4 linked regions of the Oreochromis niloticus genome follow. The protein of the gene in region 1 binds, or shares a complex with, the protein of each later gene. Links are inferred from orthologs where the notes say so. Each region holds a gene or a part of one and is shown in the gene's direction. Other genes may lie near its edges.

Evidence for each region.
Region 2: prpf3 (region 1) and usp39 share a complex: the UniProt entries of both Homo sapiens proteins name them as parts of the U4/U6-U5 tri-snRNP complex. The link is inferred for Oreochromis niloticus from reciprocal best matches to the Homo sapiens genes PRPF3 and USP39.
Region 3: prpf3 (region 1) and txnl4a share a complex: the UniProt entries of both Homo sapiens proteins name them as parts of the precatalytic spliceosome. The link is inferred for Oreochromis niloticus from reciprocal best matches to the Homo sapiens genes PRPF3 and TXNL4A.
Region 4: prpf3 (region 1) and lsm4 share a complex: the UniProt entries of both Homo sapiens proteins name them as parts of the precatalytic spliceosome. The link is inferred for Oreochromis niloticus from reciprocal best matches to the Homo sapiens genes PRPF3 and LSM4.

What each region holds. Positions count from the first base shown.
Region 1 is NC_031976.2:21,498,927-21,506,284, forward strand, and holds the start of prpf3 (U4/U6 small nuclear ribonucleoprotein Prp3), read left to right. Parts: upstream 1-4,340; 5' UTR 4,341-4,502; intron 4,503-4,926; 5' UTR 4,927-4,935; coding exon 4,936-5,080; intron 5,081-5,679; coding exon 5,680-5,810; intron 5,811-6,202; coding exon 6,203-6,370; intron 6,371-6,483; coding exon 6,484-6,570; intron 6,571-6,675; coding exon 6,676-6,962; intron 6,963-7,081; coding exon 7,082-7,200; intron 7,201-7,301; coding exon 7,302-7,358. UniProt on the Homo sapiens protein: Plays a role in pre-mRNA splicing as component of the U4/U6-U5 tri-snRNP complex that is involved in spliceosome assembly, and as component of the precatalytic spliceosome (spliceosome B complex).
Region 2 is NC_031977.2:19,023,283-19,031,145, reverse strand, and holds the start of usp39 (ubiquitin carboxyl-terminal hydrolase 39), read left to right. Parts: upstream 1-4,856; 5' UTR 4,857-4,995; coding exon 4,996-5,059; intron 5,060-5,356; coding exon 5,357-5,435; intron 5,436-5,519; coding exon 5,520-5,614; intron 5,615-5,699; coding exon 5,700-5,836; intron 5,837-6,630; coding exon 6,631-6,783; intron 6,784-6,872; coding exon 6,873-7,098; intron 7,099-7,193; coding exon 7,194-7,268; intron 7,269-7,618; coding exon 7,619-7,686; intron 7,687-7,863. Other genes in the region: lg12h2orf68 (UPF0561 protein C2orf68 homolog), read right to left, coding at 1,701-1,823, 1,919-2,061, 2,159-2,274, 4,414-4,523.
Region 3 is NC_031985.2:28,337,919-28,345,149, reverse strand, and holds the start of txnl4a (thioredoxin-like protein 4A), read left to right. Parts: upstream 1-4,222; 5' UTR 4,223-4,398; intron 4,399-4,615; 5' UTR 4,616-4,642; coding exon 4,643-4,795; intron 4,796-6,100; coding exon 6,101-6,204; intron 6,205-7,231. UniProt on the Homo sapiens protein: Plays a role in pre-mRNA splicing as component of the U5 snRNP and U4/U6-U5 tri-snRNP complexes that are involved in spliceosome assembly, and as component of the precatalytic spliceosome (spliceosome B complex).
Region 4 is NC_031980.2:32,135,482-32,143,137, forward strand, and holds the start of lsm4 (U6 snRNA-associated Sm-like protein LSm4), read left to right. Parts: upstream 1-4,644; 5' UTR 4,645-4,779; coding exon 4,780-4,782; intron 4,783-5,300; coding exon 5,301-5,342; intron 5,343-5,699; coding exon 5,700-5,798; intron 5,799-6,273; coding exon 6,274-6,454; intron 6,455-7,447; coding exon 7,448-7,566; 3' UTR 7,567-7,656. Other genes in the region: pyroglutamyl-peptidase 1, read right to left, coding at 742-775. UniProt on the Homo sapiens protein: Plays a role in pre-mRNA splicing as component of the U4/U6-U5 tri-snRNP complex that is involved in spliceosome assembly, and as component of the precatalytic spliceosome (spliceosome B complex).

The sequences.
Region 1 (7,358 bases):
CTTCTGAACAAATCACCAAAGTTTTCTCATGTCACACTGCTACTCTCCCAGCTCCATTGGCATCCCATTGACTCGAGAATACATGTCAAGATTTTGGTTCTCACTTATAGGGCTCTGAATGGTCAAGCGCAAGCATGCATCTAAGAACTTTTACATCTGTATGGCCTTAGCAGATCCCTAAGGTCATCTGACCGAGGCCTGCTGTGCCACATGCAAGGGTAAAAACTAAAGGTGACAGAGCCTTATCTCAGTAGTAGCACCAGGACTCTGGAACTTTCTCCCCTTTAGTTTTAGGTCTGCAAACTCTGTTCAGCTTTTTTAAAAGCAACAAAAAATCTTTTTACAATTGCTTTTAATGAACTATTTCAATGTACTGATGTCTGATGTTTTTTGTTTTCTTTTGTTTAGCACTTTGTGATCAATATCTTTAAAGGTGCTATATAAATAACTAAACTCACTTTTGCTTACTTCATTGTATGAGATTGAAGACTAGGGGGTGGGCAGAGTCTTTCAGTCTGTGGCACCAAGGGTTTGGAAAAGTCTAACATTCCAGCTGCAGTGGGGAAAATAATTATTTCATCATCTGCTGAATTTGAAGGTTTGCTCACTTACAAAGAAATTAACAGTCTGTAATTTTAACGGTAGTTTTTTTTGAATGGACAGAATATCAATCAAAAATCCAGAAAATAAAACACGTTACATAAAAGTTACAAATTGACTTGCATGTCACTGAGTGAAGTAGGTTTTTGATCCCCAAAAAATGTGTTAGTGCTTGGTGGAGAAACAACTGTTGGCAAGCACAGTGGGAAGATATTTCTTTAGTTGGTCACGAGGTCTGCACACATCTCAGGAGGGATTTTGTGCCTTCTTGGGCAGGGAGACCTTATAGCATAGTGTTTTACCAATTGTGTTCTTGGTGACTGTGGTCCATTTATATTTATTCCATTTCATAATAATCACACCAACATTTGTCACCTTCTCAACAAGCTTCTTGCTGATGGTCTTGTGTAGATCTACAATCTTGTCCTTGATGTCATTGGACAGCTGTTTTGGTACTGGTGGTCAAAGTTGGAAAGAAAGAAATTGATTCTGTGAGCAGGTGTGCTTTCTAAACATAGCGAGTTAAGTTCGGGAGTATCTGTAATTGACTGAATGTAATTTGTGTGCCACATGGACACGCAGCCAATTTGTGGGAGGAAGAAGTGTGACTGGCACTTATTTCAGTTAAAGGCATGCAAATCAATGCATAACTTTTATGTGATGTGTTTTTTTCTGGATTTTTGGTTGATATTCTGTCCCTCTCTATTAAGATAAAAATTAGCGGCTATGCATTTTTTTTTTTCTAACTCAGCAAAACGTACAAATTCAGCAGGAGAATCAATTTTTCCCTACTGTACATTTAGCTGACTCTTCGACAATTGAATTCTTCTCTGTTTAACCACGCTTTCTATTGAAATTCTATTATTAATTATATTTTTATTGTCTTTTTTATTGTTATGTCTTCTACCATAGTTTTATATTGCTAGCACTTTATAAATAAACATCACTTACTTTCTATTTCGTCACTCCTTAAGGGACAACTTCATTTTTATTGAATGACTTTCTTTTTTTGTCTTTAGGTTTGTTTTAAAAGAATTTTAAACACTTGTCTGGTTCCCCCTTAGCGAGGTCAGGCCTGCAAACTTTGCTCATTGCAACTGCTGTAGTTTGAAGTTTGTTTGGCCGGGCATGCCTGGTGGAAAGCGTTGCCTCTGCCTATCAGGTCCAGCTGCCTGTGTCAGTCAAAGAGTCCATGAACCTAACTCCAGTATCCAGGTGGCTGTATAGGATAGTTGCCTGATAGTTATTGTTAGAAAAGGGCCAAAACATCCCTTGGGATTAACTTCTTGTTGGAACGGGCCTAAAGTGGCCACTAGAGGAACTAATGCAGTTTTTGGCACTTCCATATTGGCATCAGTTTTCAGCTCCAGAGGCAGCCACATTTGTACAACACATACAATGGAACAATAGTCACTGCTACTTGCAAATGTCATTACATAACTGACAGCCAACGAGGTCAATCTTGCCAGCAGCAGTTATTCTTGGGCAATATATCAGTGAATACCTAAAAACAACAACAACAACAAAAACAACCCAAGAAGCAATTACATACTCCACGTGCATATCTTCAAATGTTCTTGTTTTCCTGAACCAACAGAGCTTAACTCCATAATGTTCACTTTGATAATAGTTACCTTTAAAAAGCTGGAAGCCATGTGGTAAACTATTTTGCTTAAATTATGGTAAAATACATTTAATTTTCAATTGAAATAGTAGCTAATATATAAATCATTAGACTGTTTCAGATCAAAACATTGCATTGCAACTTGCATTCAACAATTTAAACAGAACAAGGAATAATTTACTACACTCAATAACTTAAATAAGTGATCAGTAAGACCTTGTTTTTGGGAAAACTAGATATATGACATTCTGATTTTCCTCAAGGTCACAGAGAAAAATGGTTTCAAAGTGAAAACAACAAAAGGCGTTTGTTGTGGTGGAAAAAGCATGTAATCAAAGTGCCTCAGATTTCCATGTATTATTCTGTGGTCCTAATTAGAGGCTTCCTTTAAACTACCAGATTTCCTTCCATATTCACACAACTTGGGTTGTAGTGTGCTTGTAAACATGGACGTAAATATTAAGTACATGAGTGATGAATCGGCAGGGGATGATGATGGAGGTGTGTTGTTCAGTAGGAGTAAATGAATGCATCTGTAATGACTATCTGACATTTTGGTGATAGAGAAAGAGCATGTGTTGTAACTAAAGCATGCTGCGTATGCAACTCTTCCTGATGGTTGCACGTGGCATTAGCACTGTGAGCGAAAGCATGGATGTGGTTTGCTGTAGACAGAGCGAGTCATTTGGCAGCCTGGTGTAGCCTCGGGCTCTCTGCAACTGATTCATGCTCACACTACTATAAGTGCACGCAGTTGACCCACATCATGCAAAGAGAGGGAAAAAAGTCAGGAGGCGGGCATTCAGGGGAAGGAAATGGAGATCATCTGATAATTTTTACCAGGGGACTGGGTTCATGACTGAGCTGCGGTTAATAATTAGGCAATATTTATGACTAGTTTGACTTCTGTGAAAATCATAGAAACACTGCGCTTTTAATATGAAGACAAAGCCCTATCATGAACCTTGTAAAGGAGAAATATGAGAATACTCTCTGCCAAAGCTCTTCATCAGCTATTTTTTCAATTTGGATTTTTATTTGCAATTCAGATCACTCTCTTAGTTCCCAGAATGTAAAACATTAGTTTTAATCCAGCTTTAACTAGTTTTGGTATTTGAAGTTGCCAGGGAAAAGATTTAACCTCTTAACAACCACCAAGTCACTGCTGATCCACTTAGTGGTAGGCTTATGCTGAATTTTACCAAGAAGATGAAGAAGCATAGTCTCAGAAACTAGAAGACATTATTACCCTTAATCCTAAACAGGTGACCTGGGTGAGGTTAAGAGGCCAAGAACATGATATGTATCAAAGAATAAACACTTTTTCCATACTTAAAAAAAAAACAAAAAACATTAATCTCACTTTACTGATGTATATACATATTGTTGTTATAGTAACATTAATTTTCAAGTCTATTCTTTATTTCAGTAACTAATTATTTCGATTACACCTAGTGTTCAGCTAGAGTTTCTATAAATATATTGCTCTGCAATTACATGATGCCAACAACTTGATAGTCAGTTAGCTTAGTTTGATTTAAATGGACAAAAGACTGCGTGTATCACCAGACAAATCTGCTAAAAAAAAAAAGTGTAATAAATTTTTCTATATACGTTTGACTTCTACCATCATTTTGTGCTGTTAGAGAATTTTAATCCAGGATCCAAAGACTGCCATGGCTCTCTATTATAATGTGTCCCATGTGTATTATAGCTAAATAGGCAGATTCATTAATGTGTTTTCGCTGGTGAAAATGAAAACTAGTTGGGGCTTGTATAAGGTTAGTTGAAGGAAAATGGGTTTGAAAGCGAACTCGTCAGGATAAAACGCAGTGTGCATAGTCACACCCACAAGACAGTTTTAATTCCTGGAAAAACCCTGAGCTGTGGGCATAATGCTATAACGACACAACATTAACCTGGTCAAGAACGAACTTTCACGGATAAATAAATTGCCTTAACCCTCAGATTTTTAAAACTATTTGGGAGAAATACGTTTTACCTTGTGGAAAACAGGGATATTTCCATACATGTGCAGATAGGTGGAAACACCGCACACTTGAAACGAAACGACTCTGCGGAAAAAGTCCACGAAGAAGAAGCTGCGTCCATTTCCTGTTCCGGGGCTTGAAACAGAAACGTCGTGCGGACGCGCGACTAAACAGAAAGTTTTGGAGAAAACTTCGCACGTTGAGTGTTTCACGCGTCTGAGTCTTCATCGTTTTTATTTGACCTCCACGGCGTAAACGGGCTGACTACGATAGAAGAGTAATCTAAGGTTTGTAAGCCTCATGAAGCAGTTATTCCCCGGTGATGGTAGCTCGCTTACACCAGTGTGCTAACGTTAGTTAGCATCTAACCAGGGAGGTTTGGCGGATGTGATTGATTTAACAATGTATGTTGCTACGGGCTGGCGCTTTAATTTAATCAGTCTGATTTAACACTCATCAACTAACAAAGTGCAGCAAGTTCGGAGTGACTGACTGTTTATGTGGGAGTTTTTATTAGTTGCAAACTGGTGAACGTCTGTGTCAGAGCAGCTGTAGCTAAGTGAATAAAGGACGGCGGGTTTTGGAGCTCATGTTTGGGACTATCACATTTGTGTGATATAGGACTAATCAAGGCCAGAAATCACGAAGATTTTGAGTAATAACCATGCTCAGTAGCGGTAATCCATGACATAAGTATTTGATGTCCTGCAGGATTGGAGGATGTCTCTTCCAAAGCGGGAGGTGGAGGAGTTGAGGCCATGGGTGGAACGCACTGTGAAGAAGGTGCTGGGTTTCTCGGAGCCCACTGTGGTGACTGCAGCATTGCACTGTGTGGGAAAGGGACTAGACAAAAGGAAGACCATAGGTAAGTTCGGAGAAATATCTCTTATTTATTTAGAGATCTGGTGACGATTCAATTCAGCCAAAAGTGCCTCTGACATCAGAGGTATATCCCAGGGTGATTTGTTTTACCTTCTTACAAAATGCACCCATCATTGCAGAGAAAAAAGTCCAGCCAAGTAGCAAGAGTCCAACAGCAGTCTGAAAACCTATCTGGCCTTCTTAGGAGTATTTGACATGACTACCAAGCTGTGGGTTCTTAACATAGTGCAGACAGCCAACCCACAAAATGATGGCGTGAGGATCTGCGATGTAGCTATCAGCAGGGCTTGTTTGCAAAGGTAATAGATTTGCTGTCCAGTTAAAATACTGCAGTCATTTGTTCATTCAAATGAAAGATTATGAGTACAAAGAAAGCTGCCTATTGCTTTTATTTGTTTGTTTGTTTATTTATTTATTTATTTCATCTGTCTGGGAAATAATTGCTTGGTCTGTTAGACTGTGACTTCTGTAGGTGCTGTAGTTTAAATGTCAGTGTATATTTTTATGTGGGTATTTAAGCTATTCTGTGGTAACAGTATTTTCTTTTCAGAGTGTTAATTATTTCATATTTATTGTCCTCAGACCAACTGCGTCCTTTTCTCGATGACTCTGCTGGAGGCTTTGTAGAGCGGCTTTTTGAAGCCCTCGAGGAGAGCCGCAGCACACGTGGGAACAAAGGATCTGGAGAAAAAAACCGGAAGAGAGAACTTAAGGTAACCTAACATCATAGCAAATGTTCATACTTTATATTATCATTATATAACTGAATAACTAGATCTGGAGGTGAGGAGTTTTCTGACAAAAAACACGCTCATAAGCAAAAGTGACCCGTTTAAAGAAATTAAATACATTGCATTCAATGCATGCAGTGATTAGTCTGATTGTGTTAAGCCTCAGTTTGATTAACTTAAACCTCAGTGTAAACATCCCCTTACACTTCCTTTACTCCAGCATTAGACTTAATTGAGGTTTCACTCAGATTGCACTTAACTTTAGTTCTACATGGACTGCACTGATACAATACTGATTATTCTTACGGAAAGTTTAATTGCTGCATAAGATATTTATTTTTATTGGTGTTTGTGTGTTTGCCGGTTGTACTCAGGATGTGTTTGGTGAAGAGGCTGACACAGGCGCAGTGCGAGAAACTCCCGAGCCAACAGATGGCACAACGGCAAAGAGGAAACGAGTCCCCCGTTTTGAGGAGGTGGAGCAACCTGAGGTGATACCAGGACCTCCATCAGAGAGCCCCGGCATGCTCACCAAAATGCAGGTACATGATACTTGGTGCAATAGACAGTAGACAATATATATATGTGTATATGTAAGTATAGTGGCTTTATTTTCTTTGTCAGTCACCTCTGAATCCTTTTGCTGTCCTAACAGATCAAACAGATGATGGAAGCAGCCACAAAACAGATCGAAGAAAGGAAGAAACAACTAAGCTTTACTGCTCCAGCTCCTGCTACAACAGTAATGAGATTTCTTTCCCATAAAAATACATACTGAATAAAGAACTGCCGCCTTTTCAGGCTGTAAATTCTATTTGAAACCTTTCTAATTTCTTTCTGACTCTAGCGGTTGCCTGTTCCCACTCCACAGTCGCAGCTGGATGCCCCTCCACTCTCTCGACTTCTTGGCACTGCTGGTGCTGCAGCAGCTGGTGGTGGGTCATCCATCGCTCCCTACCAGGCTGCCAGCTTCATGAATGATGCAATTGAGAAGGCCCGTAAAGCCGCTGAGCTACAGGCTCGCATTCAGTCCCAGTTAGCTATGAAACCTGGCATCCTCGGAGCTTTGGGGAACACTGGGCCACAAAACTTTGTGGCACTAGCTAATCTACATGCCATGGGGATTGCTCCACCGTAAGTGATGTCAGACTATAAATATAAGATTTTAAAATATGCACAAGACATGAAAAAAGTAGGTGATGTCTTTGTGCTCAATTGACATTGAACTGCTTTCTCTTTATGTGTAACTACAGCAAAGTAGAACCCAAGGAGGTGAACAAACCGACACCTCTTATCCTGGATGAGAAGGGAAGAACTGTAGATGCCAGTGGCAAAGAGGTTGAACTCACACACCGCATGCCTACGCTCAAAGGTACATACATGGATACAGTGATCCAATATTTGTACACAAACATGCACAATGTGTTTTCTTTGTTTTGATATTCCACAAAACATTTTTCTTTCCCTGTGTAGCTAACATTCGAGCAGTAAAGAGAGAGCAGTTCCGCCAGCAGCTGAAGGAGAAGCCTG
Region 2 (7,863 bases), on another chromosome or scaffold:
CCAGGTAAAAAGATGGGAAAAGAAATGACATAACAGTGCGAAAAAAGTTATACAAAAATTACAATTGCTTAAATAATATGAGAACAGGTGCAACTTCACACAAACTAATCGCTTCTTTTGGTCACAAGATGAACATCTGCTTTGTCACAAAAAACTCAAGTTCATATTTTAGAGGTCTGCAAAGCAAAATATAAAACTGCCATTTGAAATCTGAACTCTACAAATAAAGAGTTCTTCCTGTGTATAGAGCAGGGGTAGGGAACTCCAGGCCTTGAGAGCCGGCGTCCTGCAGGTTCCTTGATCCAACACAGCTGATTCAAATGGCTAAATGACCTCCTCTACATGTCTTGAAGTTCTCCAGAGGCCTGGTAATGAACTAATCATTTGATTCAGGTGTGTTGACCCAGGGTGAGATCTAAAACCTGCAGAACACCAGCTCTCGAGGCCTGGAGTTCCCTACCCCTGGTATAGAGGCTATTATTCATTGTTGGACAAGCAGCCCCAATAAGATATGAGATTTCTGACAAAGCAGAGGACAGAGAAGCTCTGACTGAAGTGCACAAAGATCCTGAAATGGATACAAACCCAAGGCGCTACTCCATGTACAGCAACTTGCCACCTAATTCTTCGTTGCCCCTCTGTTCTTCACAGTATTTTAGTCAAAAAGTCAAAAGAGGGGAAATATTAGAACAATTCAAAGTGCCCCTTTTTATTGAAACTAAACTGTTTAGTAGGTGTCTGTAGAAAAATGCATTCTTTTTACAGAAGTACAGCATAAAACCTGATTTAAACAGGAGAAAAACTACAGCAGAGGTCTGCGTGGTTGTATGACTGATGCTGCCACCTGCTGAAAATTTGATGTGAAACATTTGTCAAATCAAACTGATGCAGTATTTTTCTATGTTCCAGTATTATATTCATGTTTAAAAATCAGAATCTATGTCATATAAGATAAGACAAAAAAAAAATAAAATAAAAAGTGGTGCTCAGCACCATAAAACTGGACAGCAATGCATGGCTTTAATACATTTTATATGTAAAGTGTCATCCTCAAAAAGATATTACAGTATCAAAAATAAGTCTCTCAACAATCCAAAATAAATCGGAGCACTGGAACCTACAGAACAGTTACCAACCCAACAAGGTCATCTACTAGACTCGGACTTCAAAACTAATTTCCCTCATTTCTTAAACACAGGATTGCTGACAGACCGATGACAGACAGACCGATGATCAGCTGAAAACGCTTCACACAAGGAGTTCAAATCTTAATTTAACAAACAGAATCTTTGTAAACACAAGAATCACAGGACATGGAGGACAACGCTTTTAGGGCTCTGTGCAGAAGAGTACCTGCTCCTTCTGAATGTAACTATTAAAAAGTAACAATTTTAAAAATGTCCAGTCAACTTAAACGTGTCCCCAATATGTGAATCAGAGAATAGCACAACTGTCCAAGGTCAAGAATTGCAATTGAACCTGAAAACAACTCCCAGCCATAAACTGTGCTCTTCCTTCTTACAAAAGAAAAAAAATGGCCTGAATATAAGTCACCATGTTAGATCTCTGCTGACAGTCACTCTAAATGATCCTTCTTATACCCTTAATGCACAAGAGTGCTCTGGAGGAGTGCAGAACTGCAAACGAAGTGTTCCTCCTCTTTGCGTGGAGCTCCTTTATGGTCGTAATCTGATGATTGCTCAGCGTTTGTCTCGCCTTTTGTCAATTTCTTTTCGAATTCGAACCTTCAGAGCTGCCCTCATGGCTGCATCCAGGATGTTCTTCTCTGCAACACGTTCTACCACCTTCTCAGGCTTGTCCTCCTTCAGAAACAAAAGGCATTTAAAGGAATTACACACAGGAAATGACCAAAGAAAACATTTTTATGAAAACATCATAAAAAGGAATCGGCATTAACCTTGTGCACAAGGATGGATGTAATGGTACCAGAATCAGCTTCATATTCAAGCCAAAAGAGTTCAGTCCCACTGGCGTCAGTCTCTGTGCTTGATCCACTCTCGTTTTCTTCAGCATCAGCACCGGCCCCTGGCTCTGAACCATCTGAATAATGAGCGCATGCACACACACAAACACTTTATCTTCCCGCTAATGGGTGCACTATCAGCACAAAAGTCAAGAGAAAGCACATCAGTCTTACGTCTTCTTCGAGGATGGTACACTTGCATGTCAGGTCGACGGGGTCTTCGAGGGGTTGTGGTGTGTCTCCGCCGCTGAAGCTCTTTGGCTTGCTTCACCTCTTTATCATAGTCATCTCTTGAGAAAGGGAATCAAAATTTAGTTAATGCAGAAAATGTGACAAACAAATAAATCCAAATAAATAAATAAAAAATAAAATTAACACATTGAAGGGCTGGACAAGCATTAATGGAGTGACACTGTTTTTTATATTGTGATTTTTGACTTGACTAACCACTGTATACAGATGTCATCATTTTAAATAAAATTGAAAGACACTGACAGAAAATACTCCTTTTTACCAGTCAGCCAGTCTTCAGACAGTGGTGAGAAGCTTACATACAGGCCATCAATGTAATTTGCGGATTTTCTTTGAACTGGCATGATATTCATGCCTACATATGCATTTATGCACATTTCTAACAGTTTGTTGTATAGTTCAGAAAATGCATTATGAAAGTAAGTCGTGCCTATGTAAATTTGGCACAAAAAGTAAGGTCCATTATTTCTTTCTTGTAACGATGCATCTTGCGAATAAATCTCATACCGTTGGAAAGCCTTTTTATTTCCCCTTCAGTAGTCCCACATTTCTCAGGAAAAATGCATTTTTCCTAACAAATGAATGGGATGAGCAGCAGAGGTGAGTATGGGGGTTGCGCCCATGAAAAAGTTGCTAAATCTTCTCTGCCAATACCAAAGAGCCTTATTCTGCTATTGACTCTTCTTTGGTGTTGCCTATTGAACTGGATGATTTAGGTCTTAAATTTTTTTTTTTTAGCAATTTTTTATTTCAAGAAATATGGGCCTATGCAGCACGTGGAACCATACGCAGACTCAACAGCTTGGCACCTTCTATGCTGGTCACCGGCTTGGTCCACATCCAAGCTGATCACATAACCGTTCAACGGGGTCAGGACTTCAGGTAGGACGTTCCATCCTCTCCACTCCCAAAAACTGGACCTGAGGTGGTCCGCTCTGTTGTGGTGAGCATTGTCATCTTTGAGGATAGAGTTCCCTCCTAGACTGTGGAGTTATGGGATTGCCACCATTTGCAGAATCTCGTCTCAGTATCTCTTGCATTGAGATTGACTCAAATTTTGGCAAGCCTCGTTTTTCCACTGAAGGAGATGCCGCCCCACGTTATAACACTGCCTCCACCAAAAGCTGCTATCCTATCGGTGCAGCAATCAGCACAGTTTCCCAGTGCACATGTTGCCAACAGCAGCACAAATGTGCCTGATGGTGAACAGCAGTCATGGCAGGCCTCCTGGCAGCCCTATGACACCGGAGATTGGCCTGTGCAGTCTGTTCTGGATTTTCTGGGTAGAGCACAGTCAGTGATACTGTTCTGCAAACCTTGACTGCAAATCTACAGAAGACTGACTTCTGTTCCAAAGTGCTGACAGGGTGAAGAAACAGTCTTCTTATGGCGTCGTCTTCTTGGGATGCCCATTTCGTGGCCTGTCTGACATCCCGCATCAAATAAAACTTGGCCTTTGATTTGGATAAGGGACTACACCAGCTTGAAGTTGCCCTATTGGCACGTGCCCTGTAAGGTCCACAATTACAGGTGGTGCTAATCCAACAATCAGACACCTGTCTGTATCCGGGATATCAGAATCTCAAAACAAAAGTCAGTAGCAGAAAAAAAACTGTTTGGGATTCGCAGATAAGATTTTCCAGGTTTTGTCATGGGCACAACCAACAAGTGACACAATTTAAAATAACACAAACAGACTTTCCAGTGAAATATCACTTATTTTCAAAAGCCAAACAAAGATTTTCTTTACTTTTTGTGCCAGGTTTACTTGCTTTACTGAAATGCATTTCAAAGAAACCTACAAACAAAAACATTATGTGATGTGTTTAATTTTTCTCCTAGTATTTTTGGGGTCTGTCGTATTTTCTGTCAAAAACAAGTTAAAATGATCCCCCTGTTAACAGATGCGCGCACTGATTGAACTCAGTTTTTTCCAGTATGCAGTTGTTTATCATTTTGCTCCTCAGTATCTTAAATCAAAGAGAACTGGTCACCAGGCCTCTGCGACCTCCCCATATATTTTAGCTCCGAATGTAAAAGCGTGTGTGTTAATAACAAGATAATATTTACTTAATCGTAAAATTATTTTTCACTAATAATAATAACGATGATGTTTTTAACTGAATGACCTAGTGTACTACCTACTAGCATAAGCTAATAGCAGCTGAGGAACTCACCTAGCAATCTGGTTCCTCCGGATATGGTGCAGGAAGCCGTGGCTCATATCCAAGCGACCACCTGGTTTGTATTTCAGCTCATGGACCCCCTCTTCTCTTAAAACATCCATTTCAGCAAACCGCTTCCAAACGACGTCAGTGTTTATGCACTGCTGACTGCAACAAGTCCCAATCAGAGCACTGTGAACGGTCAAAAAGCTATATAGCTAAGGCTAGCTAACGATAACATGTTGTCCAATTATAATGCTCCCTGAGTTAATAAATAATGATTATAACTAAATTGCGCACCATAAACAAATACCCAAATATGACAAACCTGTATATATATTTAAAACAAACAAAGATCCAGTTATACTTTAGAATTTGGCAAGTTATCATATTAGTTTTTGGTAAGTGACTAAGGGTGGGTATAGCGTTAGTAGGTTTTCAAACTCCGGGTTAGGTTTTAGTTTGCTACTCGACAGCTACAAGGCACAATCGCCGCGAGTTTCGAGGCGCACAGTGCTTGAGCCATTCATCACTCTCTCCAAATAACGTAAAGGTTTAGCTTCTAAATTGTTTTGACGCCGTCTATCTGCTGCTATGGTTTCTTTGAAGCGAGAAAGAGAGGTGGATTTAGATGATGATGATGACAATGAAGACGGAGGTAAGTATATTCCTCAAACGTATGCCCTGCGTTTGGTTAGCAGTTAGCGTTGTTGTTAGCCAGTGGTGCGTTGGTTTTTTTACTGGCCTGTCCAGTAACGCATAGACGGAGCAATAAGTGCCTCTACCATGTGCTTAACAAAACGATACCCCTCATCTTAAAGCACCCAGTGTTTGAAAACAAGCATACCTCACAACCTCAAAGCTAAGCTAGTTAGCATGTTTAGCTCATTGCTTTGAACTGTTGGTACATGGTTTAGCTTGACATTTGTTCTTCTTTGGTCACTTCACGTTGCAGTGGCAGCAAAAGTTGGACGAGGACATGCAGTAGAAGACCGAAGAAGCCGCCACTGTCCTTACCTTGACACCATAAACAGGTAGGTCGGAGTAGACTGTGCATTGCTATTAAAGCTGTATTCCACCTCTGCAGGTGAATTCAAGTCTGTGTGTCAATCCTGCAGGAGTGTGCTGGACTTCGACTTTGAGAAACTGTGCTCCATCTCTCTCTCCCACATCAATGTCTACGCCTGCCTTATATGTGGGAAATACTTTCAAGGTAGGCAAATGGACATTTTAACTGGGGATCAGACACCTTGTTGTACTTGTACTGATTTGTGTGGGGTTTGTTTTGTGTTTTGTAGGAAGAGGTCTGAAGTCCCACGCTTACACTCACAGCGTACAGTTTACCCATCATGTGTTCCTCAATCTGCACACACTCAAGTTTTACTGTCTGCCAGATAACTATGAGATCATCGATTCATCACTAGAAGATATCACAGTAAGTAATGTTTTTCATACTAAAACTAAAATTCATGTAATCTCACTGGCCACTTTATGGGGTACAACTTATTACCGTACTACAGGTTTGGACCCCTTTTACCTTCAGAGCTTGCTTATTAATTCTTCATGGCAGAGATTCAACAAGGTGTTTGATAATTCCTCAGAGAAATTGATCCATTTTGACATGATAGTGTCAGACAGTTGCTGCAGATTTGTCAGCTGCACATCCATGATGTGTGGCTCCTGTTTCATCACATCCCATTGCATTGAGATCTGGTGACTGGAGGCAATTTGAGCATTTAGACTCACTGGACCGTATTCACTAATCTCTGTGACCAGGATAGACAGCATTAGCTACACCAGAGGGACAGCTCAAGTTGAGCAGTTTAGAGGCAAAGTTAGAGACAAGTCTGAGGGTGGTTTGGACATGTGCAGAGGAGGGATAAGGAATATACTGGGCTGTAATGAGAAGAGGTAGATGAACCGCTTTGATGCCACCTAATAGGAGCAGCCGAAAGAAGAAAAAGAATCAACAGTGTAAAATGTATATCTATGCTAAAGGTTAGGTAACATTCAAATTATTTTGACTTTAGTGACTTTTTTTTTAAGCTGAATTGAGTGAATAAATATCTTCCAGTCTGAATTGTGACTGGATTGACTGAAGAAGCACCAGTGTTTTCAGTCTGATATGATAATAACCATGTTCTGTTTGATTTTGTCATTATTTCTGAGCTCTGGCTTTGTATCAGTTACCGCAAACAGCTGATTTGCTTACATTTCTTCTCTCTATAGTACGTGCTGAAGCCAACTTTCACCAAGCAGCACATTGCAGGGCTGGACAAGCAGGGTAAACTGTACAGAGCCTATGACGGTACCACCTACTTACCGGGCATTGTAGGGCTCAACAACATCAAAGCCAATGACTATGCCAATGTGGTGTTACAGGTATGGATATCTGCCACTCTAGATTTTATTAATTGTTGTAAATTTTCGGAATAATATCCTCCCTTCTCATTTGTGTCTCTCTTTTCAAGGCTTTTTCTAATGTTCCACCTTTGCGAAATTACTTCCTGGAGGAGGAAAACTACAGAGGAATCCGCAGGCCCCCAGGAGACATCATGTTTCTCTTGGTGCAGAGGTTTGGTGAGCTGATGCGCAAACTCTGGAATCCAAGAAACTTTAAGGCCCATGTGTCACCCCACGAGATGTTGCAGGCTGTAGTGTTGTGCAGCAAAAAGAACTTCCAGATTACAAAGCAAGGTATTACTTTACATTCACTAAATTGTGCTTTCTGGTCTCAGGTAGGCTTTCAACACAGGTTGTGGTGCTAACTAATTGTTTTTTCTCTTCTGCAGGTGATGCTGTGGACTTCATGACGTGGTTCTTAAATGCCCTGCATGGTGCTCTTGGAGGCACAAAGAAGAAGCCATGTAAGTGGAAGAAAAATCAAAGTGGATTTGACTCTGATGCTGTTTGGTTCTAATGCAGTAGTCTATCTACAGCCTTCTGTTGTGATATTAAAAGCATCTTAATGACTTTAAGGGTTAATTAAATTTCTATTTTTTCATTCTCAAACCTCGGGTTTCATACAGAATCTGCAGTCTCTGCACAAAATCATATTGCGAATGTGCGGTGTGATGGACAAGCTCTGTGGACTATGATGTTTGCAGACAACATTGTGATCTGTAGTCAGTGTGAGCAGGTGGAAGAAATCAGTTCCACGTTACACGTCAATTTGAGGCCACTAAACCTCCCTTTTCTTTTCCTTCTCCCCTCATAGCAATCATTACAAAAGCATTTCAAGGCTACATGCGGATCTTCTCCAAAAAACTCCCACACCCTGATTTGGTGAGTTTCTTGCTTGTTTTATAACTTTATTTAGAATAGAATAGAATAGAATAGAATAGAATAGAATAGAATAATCCTTTAATTGTCCCACAAGGGGAAATTTGGTATTTGTTTGTTTTATTTGTTACTTATTCAAATTCTTTAAAATGACTGCACGCCTTAAGATGCAGTTCTTAG
Region 3 (7,231 bases), on another chromosome or scaffold:
TTGTGTCCTTTTCCTGCATGAGAACTGTTAATGTACATTTATGTGTCTTTACACTCGCCCTCCAATTAAAAATTCAGTAAAAGTGTGAAGTTTGCATTCTTTCCAACCAACAGCTGTACTTGCTTACAATCACGCAACGGTATTACATAACATCTGCAGTTTATCCTGGAAACATTATTTTGTTGTTTTAATTGCCAAGAAAAATTAAATCTTAATGGCACCATTCCTTTTGACAGTAAGTACTAAAACTACCAGCTACAAAAATGCAGGGATGATGTGTAATACCGATTTAGAAGTGGGTGAGCAGAGGCATGAAGAGCCAGGAGTTATTTGTTTGTCTGAGGACTTGCAATCTTTTCATTGGTTACAGAGTGTTTGGTAATGAAATGTATGCGTGCCAGAGAAGGTATTTTCATATGAGGGAAAATGTCCTCTGGCAAAGCACAACAAGCACTTTTGCTGTAACAAAACAAATTTCCCACCTGTGGGACTAATAAAGGCCATCTTATCTCTTATCTTATAACAAGTTAAAATATGACAATACGTCTTGATGATAGTAGTTTACTACCACCAAGATTAGACAGCTTTAAAACAAACTTCTAGGAATCCTGAAAGTCTCCTTACAGAAGTCCAAAAAACAAAAATCAACATACTACTGTATGCATGTATACCTATATATATATGTATATATAATTAATATATATATGAACTTAGATCAAGCTTATTTATATATATTTATATATATATATATATATATGTATATATAATTAATATATATATGAACTTAGATCAAGCTTATTTATATATATTTATATATATTTATATATATATATATATATATTATATATATTTATATATATATATTATATATATTTATATATATATATTATATATATATTATATATATATATTATATATATATAATATATATATATTATATATATAATATATATATATTATATATATATAATATATATATATGTAAAAAAAACAAAAACACCCAGCACGCCCCTGCGGGCGGTTTATCCTTCAAGCTCGGGTCCTCTACCAGAGGCCTGGGAGCTTGAGGGTCCTGCGCAGTATCTTAGCTGTTCCCAGGACTGCGCTCTTCTGGACAGAGATCTCCGATGTTGTTCCCGGGATCTGCTGGAGCCACTCGCCTAGCTTGGGAGTCACCGCACCTAGTGCTCCGATTACCACGGGGACCACCGTTACCTTCACCCTCCACATCCTCTCGAGCTCTTCTCTGAGCCCTTGGTATTTCTCCAGCTTCTCGTGTTCCTTCTTCCTGATGTTGCTGTCATTCGGAACCGCTACATCGATCACTACGGCCGTCTTCTTCTGTTTGTCTACCACCACTATGTCCGGTTGGTTAGCCACCACCATTTTATCCGTCTGCATCTGGAAGTCCCACAGGATCTTAGCTCGGTCATTCTCCACCACCCTTGGGGGCATCTCCCATTTTGACCTCGGGACTTCCAGGTTATACTCGGCACAGATGTTCCTGTACACTATGCCGGCCACTTGGTTATGGCGCTCCATGTATGCCTTGCCTGCTAGCATCTTGCACCCTGCTGTTATGTGCTGGATTGTCTCTGGGGCATCTTTACACAGCCTGCACCTGGGGTCTTGCCTGGTGTGATAGACCCCAGCCTCTATGGATCTTGTACTCAGAGCTTGTTCTTGTGCTGCCATGATTAGTGCCTCTGTGCTGTCTTTCAGTCCAGCTTTGTCCAGCCACTGGTAGGATTTCTGGATATCAGCCACCTCCTCTATCTGCCGGTGGTACATACCGTGCAGGGGCCTGTCCTTCCATGATGGTTCCTCGCCTTCCTCCTCTTTCTTGGGTTTCTGCTGCCTGAGGTATTCACTGAGCACGCTGTCAGTTGGGGCCATCTTCGTGATGTATTCGTGGATGTTTCTTGTCTCATCCTGGACTGTGGTGCTGACACTCACCAGTCCCCGGCCCCCTTCCTTCCGCTTAGCATACAGCCTCAGGGTGCTGGACTTGGGGTGAAACCCTCCATGCATGGTAAGGAGCTTTCTTGTCTTTATGTCAGTGGCTTCTATCTCCTCCTTTGGCCAGCCTATTACCCCAGCAGGGTACCTGATCACGGGCAGGGCGTAGGTGTTGATGGCCCGGATCTTGTTCTTACCGTTCAGCTGACTCCTCAGGACTTGCCTGACCCTCTGCAGGTACTTGGTGGTTGCAGCTTTCCTAGCGCCCTCTTCGTGGTTCCCATTCGCTTGCGGGATCCCCAGGTACTTGTAACTGTCCTCTATGTCTGCAATGTTGCCTTCTATATATATGTATATGTATATATATATATATATATATATATATATACATATACATATATATATACATATATATATATATATATATATAATATATATATTATATATATATACATATATATATATGTATATATATATAATATATGTATATGTATATATATATATATATATATATATATATATATATATATATATATATATACATATATATACATATATATATATATATAAGCTTGATCTAAGTTCACTCAAAGACATTTGGTGAGTTAATGGTTTGTAGTTTTGTGACAATCAACTTTTGGATACATTTTCAAGGAGGAGCATTTGATATGATGTAATATAGTAGATAAAATGCAGCTGCGCCTTAGTCACATTAAACAGTAACCAAATGTAATGTTACTATAATAAAAAAATAAAATCTAATAAAATGTTATCAACTATGAAACATGAACACCTTTTCACAGCCCATGTGTAAAATGAAAGGACCAAAATAGATCCCAAAGGTTGACTCTGTTCGTCTGGACGTAGAGTTTTCAGTGGGAGAAACATTTCATCACTCTTCAGTCTCAGCTCAGCTCTCTATCAACTCTCTACTCATGGCCAATGATCAGTGGTCTTTGATCAGTAGTTGTTGATCAATGGTCATGAGAATTTGCATATTAATGATCAAGGAACTGACCTTCCACCCATTGTCCCTTCAGTGGTGCTAGTTTCAGTCATTATGCAAATGTACTGTTTATAAGATTGTGGAATCCCGCAGTCAGCTGAGACTGAAGAGGTCACTTGGATGAGTGACGAAATGTTTCTCCCACTGAAAACGCTACATCCAGATACACAGAATCAGCCTTTGGGATTTACTTACCCGGATGATTGAGCATGCATCAAGATATTAAGATAAGACCAAAATAGATGGCACCAAGTTTCAGTAATTAGCTCACAGTACTTTGTCTATGTCATTCTCGAACCTTTATAGAAATGTTTCACTGGGTAAATCACCTTAAATGAAGCTCTTCTAAACCGTATTTGTCTGAAAGTACTTTTGTGCAGGGACCTGTAACTGTGTAATGTTTTTCAGTGTAACCACAGTATAAACCTGTCTTCTACAATCACTGGTAAAGACCAAAAGTTCTTCCAGACAGGGGCGGGGCTAAAGGGGTGGGGTGTGGTGGCACTGACATATCTGAAATTTGTTTGCTCCTCTTCTTCACACACATTCATCACTTAAGTAGAAATACAGATAGTTGTATTTAAAAATGCTCTAGTAAATATTAACATACCCATTCAATGTCCTTACTCAAAAGTTTTGTTTTTTTTTAAAAAGTACAGGCTCTGAAATGTACTCTATACAAAAATAAAAAGTAGCTCTTTGAATTTTTTGACAACTAATTAAAACTCATGTTATATTATTATTATTATTAAAAAAAATCTTAACAAAGGCAGTAAAAAATGTAGCTGTATTTGCTGTTGTCTAAATTGTAGAGCGTTGACTTTGCCTCCACACCTAAATAGAAAAACGACTATAGGGCTACATCGAGATTTGGCAGGTGTGGAAACACTAAAATTACCCGAAAAGAAAAACGTAGAAACAAGTGACAAGTTGTTTCTGATCGGATTTTCTGAATTCCTATGACTTCCACACCCCACCAACCCGCTGTGCCACCCCATTAAAAAAAAATCCCGGAAATGCCCTTTGTTCCAGTTAATATTAAGAAAATTCTTCCATGTTGCAGCTGGAAAGGATGCCGTGTTTTCCTGAAATCTGATTTTGGAAGTCATTTTTCTCATAAATGAAAAACAGAGGTTACCTAAAGCAGATTGAATAGGGTCAGGACGTCTTACAGCATAATTCACTAAGGAAAAACCTAAAATGTGGTTGCATCTGACTAAAACGTACACACGGACGTGACGTAAACACGTCTGGCGCTGGATTGATGACGTCACGTGTCTAGAAACGAACCATTTGCGACAAAGTACACAGCGGCAAGAGCTGTAGCAGAGGTATTATTCAACAAAGTTTCTCTTTCTTGGAGTTACGAATTGCATTGTTACCACAAACACTACATTCGTGGCCTAATAACACGGATTTATTTACGTTTTTAGGTAAGTGTTTCCGAAGTTTGTTCACTTCTTTTTATGCAGGGCTCTCTATTTCTCCTTCCAGATTTTTCCTTGCTAACCTCAACCCAGACTGCCCCGTTAGCAGCAGGCTTACTGCCTATTATGACTAACACAAACAAAAACAGAGGTTTTATTGGATGTAATTTATAATGTAATTTACACATTTGCTACTGTTATAATGAAACATATTTATTTGCAGCTTAGGAATCAAAAACTTTGGATCAACATGTCGTACATGCTACCACATCTCCACAACGGCTGGCAGGTCGACCAAGCCATCTTGTCTGAGGAGGACCGAGTCCTGGTTATCCGCTTCGGACACGATTGGGACCCGACATGTATGAAGATGGACGAAGTTCTTTACAGCATCGCGGAAAAGGTCTGAGTAGTTTATCAACGACGACTGTTTGCTAGCTTATGTTTCTTATCTGAACTCCTGTAGAGGGCGCTGTTTGTGGGGGTTTAACCGGATGCATGTAATATTATTAAGCTGATAAAATTCAGTATAGAGGAGGTCATTTTAGTACTTTAAGGGCAATACGTGGAATATTTTACCATTTATTGTAACATTTAAATACGTCTTAAAATCTTACAAATTGAAAATATATGCACAGCATCCTTGGTGGGGTCTTATTCTGGGATGTAGTGATTTTTCTCTCCTGCAAATAATCTTTCTAAACGCAAGTCTTTCTCTTACTGTTAATTACAACTTAAGAGGTGAAAGTTTGTAGAGCCTATAACTTGTACAAATGTAATGCTGGCACTTTTTCCCCCTCCCTCTCCCAAGTAGTCTTTGTTTTGGTCATTTTGTTTGTTTTCATGGTTCAGGTTTTTCCCAAGTCTTTGAGTTTCAGCAAGCTACCTTCAGTAATTTGCTGACATATGTTAGTCCTTATAGTGTGGCAACAATTTTTATTTTTTCACTGGTAAACTCAAAACCCGGAGGAAAAGTAGCCATAAAAGACAGTATGACTTTAGTAATGACTCAGTTCAGAGAGCCAACTTCACCCATGTTTCTGGGTCACTCCTTGAGAGCAGTGTTATGGATACAGCAAGTCAAGAAGAGGGAAAAAAAGTGCACCTAACTACATTTTCACTATGATAACTGTAGTGTCAGTGCAGTTTGATTCAATATTACTGTATCAATTTCCATTGATTCAATTTAGTTTAGTTTAGTTTTTTTGGCCTTTTAGCCTGTAATGGATAGAGACAGCATAGATAGACAGGAAAGTGGGGAAAGAGAGGAAGACATGCAGCGAAGGGCCACAGGTCAGACTCGAACCCAGGCCTGCTGCTATCTGGCCACAGGCCTGCTCACCAACAGAGCTAGTATTTGTTTATTTATTTAAACCCAGATTTTTTTTGTTTGAGACTTTCTAATGCCTCTTAAAGGGGCCTGGAGGCTCCGTACTACATTGACTGGTCATGGAAGATTATTGCTGATTTTACAACCAAGGCTTTTGCTGGAGGATTTGGCTCTGAGGTAGCAATTGGTTGATGATTTTCCAGATGTAACCTTGCTACCCAGAGCTGTTAAAGTTAAAAAGAAACCTGGCCTTGTGTAATTTTTAAAAGATAAAATTGACTTGATGTCCAGGAAAACATTTTGCTAAGAGCAGCACTTTTCTTCTTCTTTTTTTTTTTCTGTCTGTATTTACTTTTGTTTTTTACTTTGCCTTGACAGGTTAAGAATTTTGCAGTCATTTACCTGGTGGACATCACAGAAGTACCTGATTTCAACAAGATGTACGAGTTGTACGACCCCTGCACTGTCATGTTCTTCTTCAGGTGAGGCTGTCAGTGTCAGCCCTGCATTCTGTCACTGTTGTTGTTATTTAGTAGACTGGCATTGCTGGAATGCACTCAGGTTATTAGTTATTAAAACTAATCATATTAACAAAACTGCTAAATCTTGCAGTCATTGTACACTTCATTTATGTAAGGATAATCTAGTTCTTTTAACACTAAAAGTGTTCAGCTGTGCTCTTCTGGACTCTGCTTCACATCAAACTCACAACACATTAAATAAGCAGACCAGAAGACTGTACTAGAGAGGTATGATGGTGCGTGGGGGAAAACACCAGATACTGATATTTTAATAAAGAAGTTAACATACTCTGGGAATACTTTGAACAAGAGAGCTCAACTCATGCATGACCATCTTGAGAAAACTTAACCGAAAACTTTCCCAGCACTGGACACGCTTATCTTAACGCAGCTGCCCCCTAATTCAGAGCAAACAATCACTTTTTGATTGTAAGGCGATTACACAAGGTACCTGATGGGAGGCAACCTTTATGCAAACAGTTGCTGTCCGACTTGAATAAGCAGTCACACTCTGAGAGATTGCCGAAGGTTTGTAAATACGTGCTGTCTAATTTGTAAATGCAGACAGATTGCCAGCATGTTGCCATCAGTTTGAATGAGTCTTTGTTAAAAGCTGAAGGCAAGTCGACTCATCCGGCTGCCAGCTGGTTGTACTCTGGTTATATTCCTATAGAGCAGGAAGGTTCATCAGTTTATGCTCTGATCATCATCAGGAGCATCATCTATCAGCAGTCTTCCTCATGATTATGATTGGCTGTATCAAACTAGACAGATGGACAGTTACTTATTTGTTTTGGACTGAAGACCATAATTATAAAAGTTAAAACAAGAATACTTGAAATAATTCACATTATGTCACTGAAATTTAAAGAAAAAAAAAAAAACCCTTCAGTTTTTAGTTTTAATCTGTTTTCCACATTAGAACACAGATGGAAACCCAGTTTTTGGTATTTAAATGTGATTTAAAGGAACTCAACATCAAACTTCA
Region 4 (7,656 bases), on another chromosome or scaffold:
TCAAAAGTGGAACCTAGTCCCTGTTTGGGAATAGGATATGTATTTTAAGCCACAGATCTATAATGGCATCACACCCAACAATTAGACAGGAAGATACGAATAATTCAAAGCAATAAAGAATAAAAAACAATAATTTAGGCTAAAGATTTCATGATTAAACTCTCTCTGTCTTGTGTTTTCAACTTTATCTATTGTTCATCTGTCTATATTTACTGACATAACTCCTATGATATCCATTTTTTAAAACTGAAATAATTTCAATAATGTCCCAAGTCACAACTAACAACATCTAATATTTATGAAAATATATGCATTATTACCTTTGCTGCCATATGGTATGTGCTCATCATTAGTGACTAATACTTCAGATGAACACGGGATATTTGAAAGCATTTAGAAACAAATATTATACCGTATCCATAGAGCAAAAAAAAATGTGTAATAAAAAGATGATATAAATAAAAAGGGAGTAATTTGTTTACTGTCTGCGGCCTTTCAGCTGAAGTAATCTAACACACTGGTGAGATCACCGAACCGGTCTGTAGCGTGTAACTATTCAATAATGCCTCCCCCCAAAACTCTAAAGGGTCAGAACTCCCACAAAAGTACTCGTTTCTTTCTGTACAGTTGCAACAGAGTGGAGCAGGAACGACCTGACGCCATTAATGGAGCAGCTTTAGTCTCCTCAACTTTTCCTCAACAGACAAAAGAGACAACGACAGCGGATAAAAGAGCCCAAACCTGTAACGACCACAGCCCGTTTACTGTTATCCATCTCCCGTCCCGATCACGAGGAACCGCTGCCTCTTTTTTCTCGGTCTTTACTTTGAACAGGGTTAGAGTGAGAGTCCACCCCGCAGAGCTGACGGCTCCTTCTCCCACACACAAACCGGAGGTACTCCCTCCTTCCGCAGGCAGCCTAAGACGTGACGTGATTACGTCAGCAAAAATACGTTTTTGAAAGATTTTTTTAAATAGTTTTTTTTAAAATTTTATTTGACAAACAGTGAGTATACAACATACGAAAAGATGAAGTATACAGAAGAACAGAACATGAACACACAAAACCAGGGGTAAAAAGAAAAAAGTAATAATTATATGAATACACGCAAAAATTCACATATATATATTGTTTTGAGAGCCTTTTTGTTGGTGGAGTCTGATATTGATTGTATGTACAATTCCACATGCTTAAGAAAATGACAGAAATATGGTGTTTTATTAGTAAACTTACATTTATGGATAAAAAATTTAGCTAAAAGTATTAACAAATTTATTATAAAAAACATTTATCATTCTTCTTGGGGAACTTAAAGAAACAGAATAAAACATTTTCCCATCGTAAAGAAAACTCCCTTAAAATATGGACAATAACAAACCTGCTAAATTCCTTCCAGAATCTCTGTGTAGAAGAACAGTACCAAAAAAGATGTGTCACAGTTTCTGGATGATCCCCACAGAAAGTACAATTAGTATTTATGTCTCTTTTAAATTTTACCATGTAGTGACTGGCAGGATAACATTTATGTAGAATTTTAAATGAAACTTCCTTCACCTTATTTACAATCAAATATTTATGGGGGATCATCCAGACTGTCTTCCAGTTGATATCTGGAACATATCGGTTCCAGTAAGATATTATATATGGGAGAGAGACGATATCCCCTTGGAATAAACTGCGTATTCTCTTATTGCTGTCACCAAGTTCCTGTGAAAAGCAGATTTTCCCTACTGCTGACTCAGCTGTATCTGGGAGAGTGAGTGAGGTAGATATTGAGCTGTCAGTGTTTTTATATAACATTAAAGTACCTGAGGGTATGGCACCAAGCACCATTGAGAATTCCCGAACACTGACTGGAAAATTATATAGTGCAATAAAGTCGTTGTAAGTAAGTAGTTGTCCCCCTTTATTAACCAGCTGAGCCACCAATAGGATCGCATTTTGGACCCAAGTTTCCAGGAAAAGTGATTTATTTTCAAATAAAATATCTCTGTTGTTCCAGATGAGGTATTTGTGTGGTGAGAAGTTGTGTTTATAAATGAGGGTCCATGCTAAGAGGACCTGCTTATGGAAGGATGAGAGTTTTACAGGGAGTTTCTCAACATTGTAATTACAATATAAAATTAAAGCTGCAAGCAGCGATACGAGGGCCCTCGCACCCCGGCACGTCGAGCCAAGCCCAACACCTAAAACCAGCGCGTCCGATCTGATGTTATATTGATGGAATTCATGCATTTAACCACCAGCTAACATTTCATCTAAATCAACCATTATTATAGTCGTCCCACTAGGTGGCGCTCTAACCATTACTGACAAATGCCATAACAAACATTTCCGAGCTCGAGTCTCATCACGCCTGCGACCTTTGGGAGAGACTGGACATTGTATTTTTGAGTGACAGCAGATTACTGCTTTTTGGCGAGTGATTGAAACTCCACGTGCCACCATGACCACCCCGTTTCCCTGAACGTAAAAAGCTTCGCAATTTAACATCACAAAGGTCTTTAGATTCCACACACAGGAGATCGCGGCAATATGATGAAATCCCTTGGAGGAGTTCGTCAAAGAACGAGGCCTGAAAAGAGGGGAAAATGTCGCCAAAATTACACATTCATTTTAAAATAGCCGACTTCCTGTTGGATTTGGGATATTGCTCCAAGAGACTTTTTTGTACATCTTGATATCTCCCACAAGCTTACCAGGTTTCAGACTCATATATAAAACACAGAGCAGGGGCTGTTGTTTTGAAATTGTGTAGGGGGCGCTGTGGAGCCATTTTGCACTATTCAAGGAAAGTGATCACATAACAACAAAGCCCTCATCACATTGGAGGTGTGCGCCAAATTTCAAGACTTTTTAAACTTTCCAAGCCCCTCAAAAGCCACTTCATCTTTCATGGTGAACCGCGTTGCCACCAGGGTGCGCCGTTCAGTTTAAAGTCACAATTTTCGCACTGAAGCATCATGATGGACTGATCGTGATATTCACCGCTTTTGAGGTGGCCACGACGAACCTGTGAAAACCTGCGTATTCCTGACAATGGTCACATCAATCTGTTCAGGGCGGGTCTGACATCATGCCTGTAAAGTCTGGTGCTGATGCTGATCAGTCTGGATTTCATTGAGCTATACTAATTTGTTTCTTCATGGCGAGACATCAAAGTTCGCCATGCTGCTGGGGTCACACCCTTTCGCGAAAAGTCACAGATTTCACTGTAAAGCAAGACCAACTCCTTAAGGCTTTCCTGGAGAAATTTGAGGCTGCAGATGTCACCCATCATAATACTGAACCCCAAAGTATAAAACATGACATTTCCTGCTCCCACTAGGTGGCGCTGTCCCTGATGTCAAATATGGCAGTTGAAATATGTTCAGGGCTGGAGCCTTATCGTATGTGTGCTCTTTGGTCCAGATGGGACAATGTATGACAGAATGAAAGGCAATAATATTTTCATGGCAAGTCATCGAAATAACCCCTCCAAACGGGTCTTATACTTTCCTGATAGTGGTTTTAATGGGGGTTTTTTCTATTACCTCTTTGTCTGTTTCTATTGCTCATTTATTTATTTGTTTAATTAAAAAATATAAATCCATCCATTTCCTGCGTTGAAGATGTAACTTCAAAAATTAACATTATTTTCATTTTCTATTAAACTATTTACATTACTGTGCAAACGTCTTGAGCTACCCGTTTTTTTATATTTTGCAAATAAAATGGGAACTAGGTGCATTGAAGCATGTGCAAACATACATGAAAATACAGAATACAAAGCAAAAAACAGTCTATACAATTCTAACCAGCATGAAAGTCAATATTTACCTTAATTCTTCAACACAACTTGAACTCTATTAAGGTTTCTTGTGACCGTTTTTTAATATAGCTGTTTACTTAAATGATATAGGTCAGTGTAAGTGGTATTAGAAAGAAAGAAAAAAATAAAAAGCATATCTCTGAAAATGGTCAACTATTAGGATGGACTGTAAATGAGTTAAAAAGCAATGAATTTCTAAGGAAAACCTTTGAAAGACCTTCAGAAAGCCTGGAGAGCTGTTGCTAATAACCGCTTTAAAATAAGAAGAAAGTGGTTATGGTTGTATTCTACCTTATAATGATGAACAATGTGTTGAACTCTGTGTTTTTGGCTGTTGACCTGCTTTTGGATTTCATGTAAATCGTGTGTCTCATATATGAAAACTTTTCAGTTATTTGGATAATTCTCCTCCATTTCCCAGTGTATTTGTTGACTTTAACAATCAATAGTTTTAAACAATTGGTAAGGGACTAAAAATGTAAGAAGAAAGAAGAATAGTATTCCTTAAATAACTAATCTAACTGTTTGCTCACCACCAAAACGCCATACAGTCTCCGGTTATCAGTTTTTAAATCTGTGAGAAAACATGGTTCAGATAAAGGGGATTTTTTGCTAAATTAAACACCCACTGGTGAATTATCTTTATAAATAAAACAAATGAAGGATATCTTAAGTATATCTTGGGAATAGGAGAGATGCAGCATATAAAAAATGCAATTTTATTTTTATATCTAATTATTTTGATATTTTTTACTTTACTTATTCTTATTAAAGTGGCACATTTTAATCGTTGCACCTTTCATTTGTTCTCATTTAATATTGGAAATGCGTGTTTCTGACAGTAGAGGGCAGCATCATATAATACAGTCATGAATGCGCCTCGCAGCACCGGAAGACAAAGAGTAACAGTAGGTGGGAAAATCGTGTTAGCAAGTAAGACACTAAAAGAAAAAAAGAAACCATCAAAATGGTGAGTTGTTAAAACTTTTCTTCTCTTCAGTGGCGCTGAGAGTGCTAGATTTTCAGCTAGCACTCTCAGTGCTAGCAGCATCGCCTTGCCTCTCCATACTCGGTACGTTAGCTATGTGAAGTTAGCTTAGCAGCTAAATTAAGCATCGATTACGTACACTAGTTGTTTTTAAATAAGTGCAGACTTAATACATAGCTTTAGAAAGCTTTTAGGTCATGCTCGACGTGCTGAGGCGGGGATTTATAATCTTATTTAGCTCCATACTCTTGCAGTTTTAAGGTTACTGACAGTTCATAGGAGTCGGTGAGTAAACGACGTAGACCTGAAGGCACTCTTAAAAAACCTGAACATAAGAGCACCTTCATGTCTACGCTAAACACCGCGGCTATGGAGACGTTTTCTTTGGACTATAACACTCCTGGCTGTTTTATGTACTCTCGCTTCAGTGCTCACTTCGGTAAATGCCGTTGATTACACACGTTTCGCCATGTTTGACCTGGTTCTCTTTTGTTTTGCAGCTTCCCTTGTCTCTGCTGAAGACTGCCCAGAACCACCCTATGGTGAGACTGACTTGGACCATGTATACAATTTTATATAACAGGCTGTAAAAAAAATATAATCGTGAGGAGAGAAAGTGACATCTCAAGATTTCTTACATGTAGAAAGCAGTGAATTGTAAGTGTGTGAGCAGAAAATGATTCAGGTTTCTTTTGAAATTTATACTGTATATAATTGTGGCTTCAGCTCTCTCATTTTATTTTGCTAAACTATAGCCAGTCCTAATTTCTTTTTAGAACTTTAATTGGCACAAGTTCAGTTTATTTTTTGTAGTGAGTATTGAAACTTTTAATACAGCTCTGAATTCTGAAAATATTCTAAGACAAGTTTTTTCCCCCCCTCATCTTTTCTCTCTGTAGTTGGTGGAGCTGAAGAATGGAGAGACGTACAACGGTCACCTGGTCAGTTGTGATAACTGGATGAACATCAACCTGAGAGAAGTCATCTGCACATCCAGGGTAACACTGACCTTGCTCTTACAATAAAGCTCTAGATTAATGACTGATGGTTAGAAAAGACAGTTTTCAGTGTTGTGTGCAGAGATATCATCGTTTTATATAAAGGCTGAGTAAGTTATTCACACTTTTTGGTGGATACACCTGCTGGCTGGCTGCGCTCTGGTGTTTGTGCACAGCCCTGCTTTTCTCTAACTGTTCCAAAAACACTGATTTGGACTGAGCCACACATTACTCTAGCTAAATAGCTACAGGGAATTTTGAATGGGAAAGAGGAATGAGAGTGAACTTCTGGATTTTTTTTTCCTTTTGCTGTAAATACACTACTAAAGTATTGTTTCAGTACAGATATTTCTATATATGTAGCTGTTTGGTCTTACGAGAGAGTGCTTTTTTTTTTTTCTTTTTCTTTTCTTTTAATCTTGAGTTAATTGTTAAGCCAATTTGATGGAACGACAGCCCCACTCCCCTCTCACAGGATGGAGATAAGTTCTGGAGAATGCCTGAGTGCTACATCCGAGGAAGCACCATCAAATATCTGCGAATCCCAGATGAAATCATCGATATGGTGAAGGAGGAGGTGGTGTCGAAGGGGCGTGGACGTGGAGGCGCCCAGCAGAACAAACAGCAGGGCAAAGGAAGAGGAGCAGGTGGCCGAGGTGAGTGGAAGCAGCTTTTGTTGTTCGTGCTGGATGTCTTAATAAACATGGGACAGTATTGAGTATTGTTTCCACATTTCTGTCAGTTCTTTCCAGAGTGTTTGTAAATAAACAAATTTACACCTGATAAATGTAAAAATAAATTATCCAAGTTCAACTTTAATTTCACTGAGGTTAAAGAATTATCGAATCCCTAACCATTCTAGGAACCCATGACTATTATCGTAATCATAGCTGAAATTTCTGACAGCTTCTACCACATATGTTTATGGATGATTTGACCAACAGGAGCCTCATAACTTTTTCTTATAAGTGTTTAATTTAAAGTCTTTTCATATCTACTACCTTCCTTTTTTTGTTCACATGAGAGGATTGTGGCTGCTTCACATCAAAACCTGATATGATTTGTAAAAGATATTAAACAGATCTTCCCAGTTGGGCAGCACGGTGGTGTGGTAGTCAAAAATGTGGCCTCTCAGAATGAAGGTCCTGGGTTTGATTGCATTGTGGTTTCTGTAGGCCTCCAAATCTGCTCGCAAAGTTGGACATCCACAGATATTTTGGGGATTTGAAGGATTTATGTTAACTTAAGGTACACTCTTGAAAGTCTGTACTGCTAGAGCCGTAGTACCAGATATTTCCGTATTTCCATAGACCTAGCTAAGGTACTTTTCTTAGAAAATGGAGTTTTAATTCCCAAGTGCATCTTTCACCCCTGATTTTCTTTTTCCTCTGACAAACTTGTGATAGTCAGGTGTGAGGCATTTCCAGTTATTAAACGTATATTGGTCTTTACTTGGTGTTGGTGGCAGGTTCTTTATAACTTTACATTTTTCTGTTTTCAGTGATACATACCAATTCTCCTTAACTGTATTATTAATTTTATTTATTTTCAATGAATTTTAAATATTAAGATTTGTTCATATTTACAGGGGATTGGGAATACTTTCTGTTACCTGATCTAACACAGGCTTTCTCTCACTTTCTCTGTAGGTCTGTTTGGCAGCCGTGGCAGAGGGATGACCGGCCCCGGTCGGGGTCAGCAGCAGCAGCAGCAGCAGCAGTCAGATAAGAAACCAGGAAAACCACAGGGAATGAAGAACCAGCACTGACAGACGACGCTGCACCTCTGACAACGTCCTGTTAATCAGTGATTCTTCCTTCAGCACATGAAGAAAAAAAATCTCTTTGGTGTGTTTTTC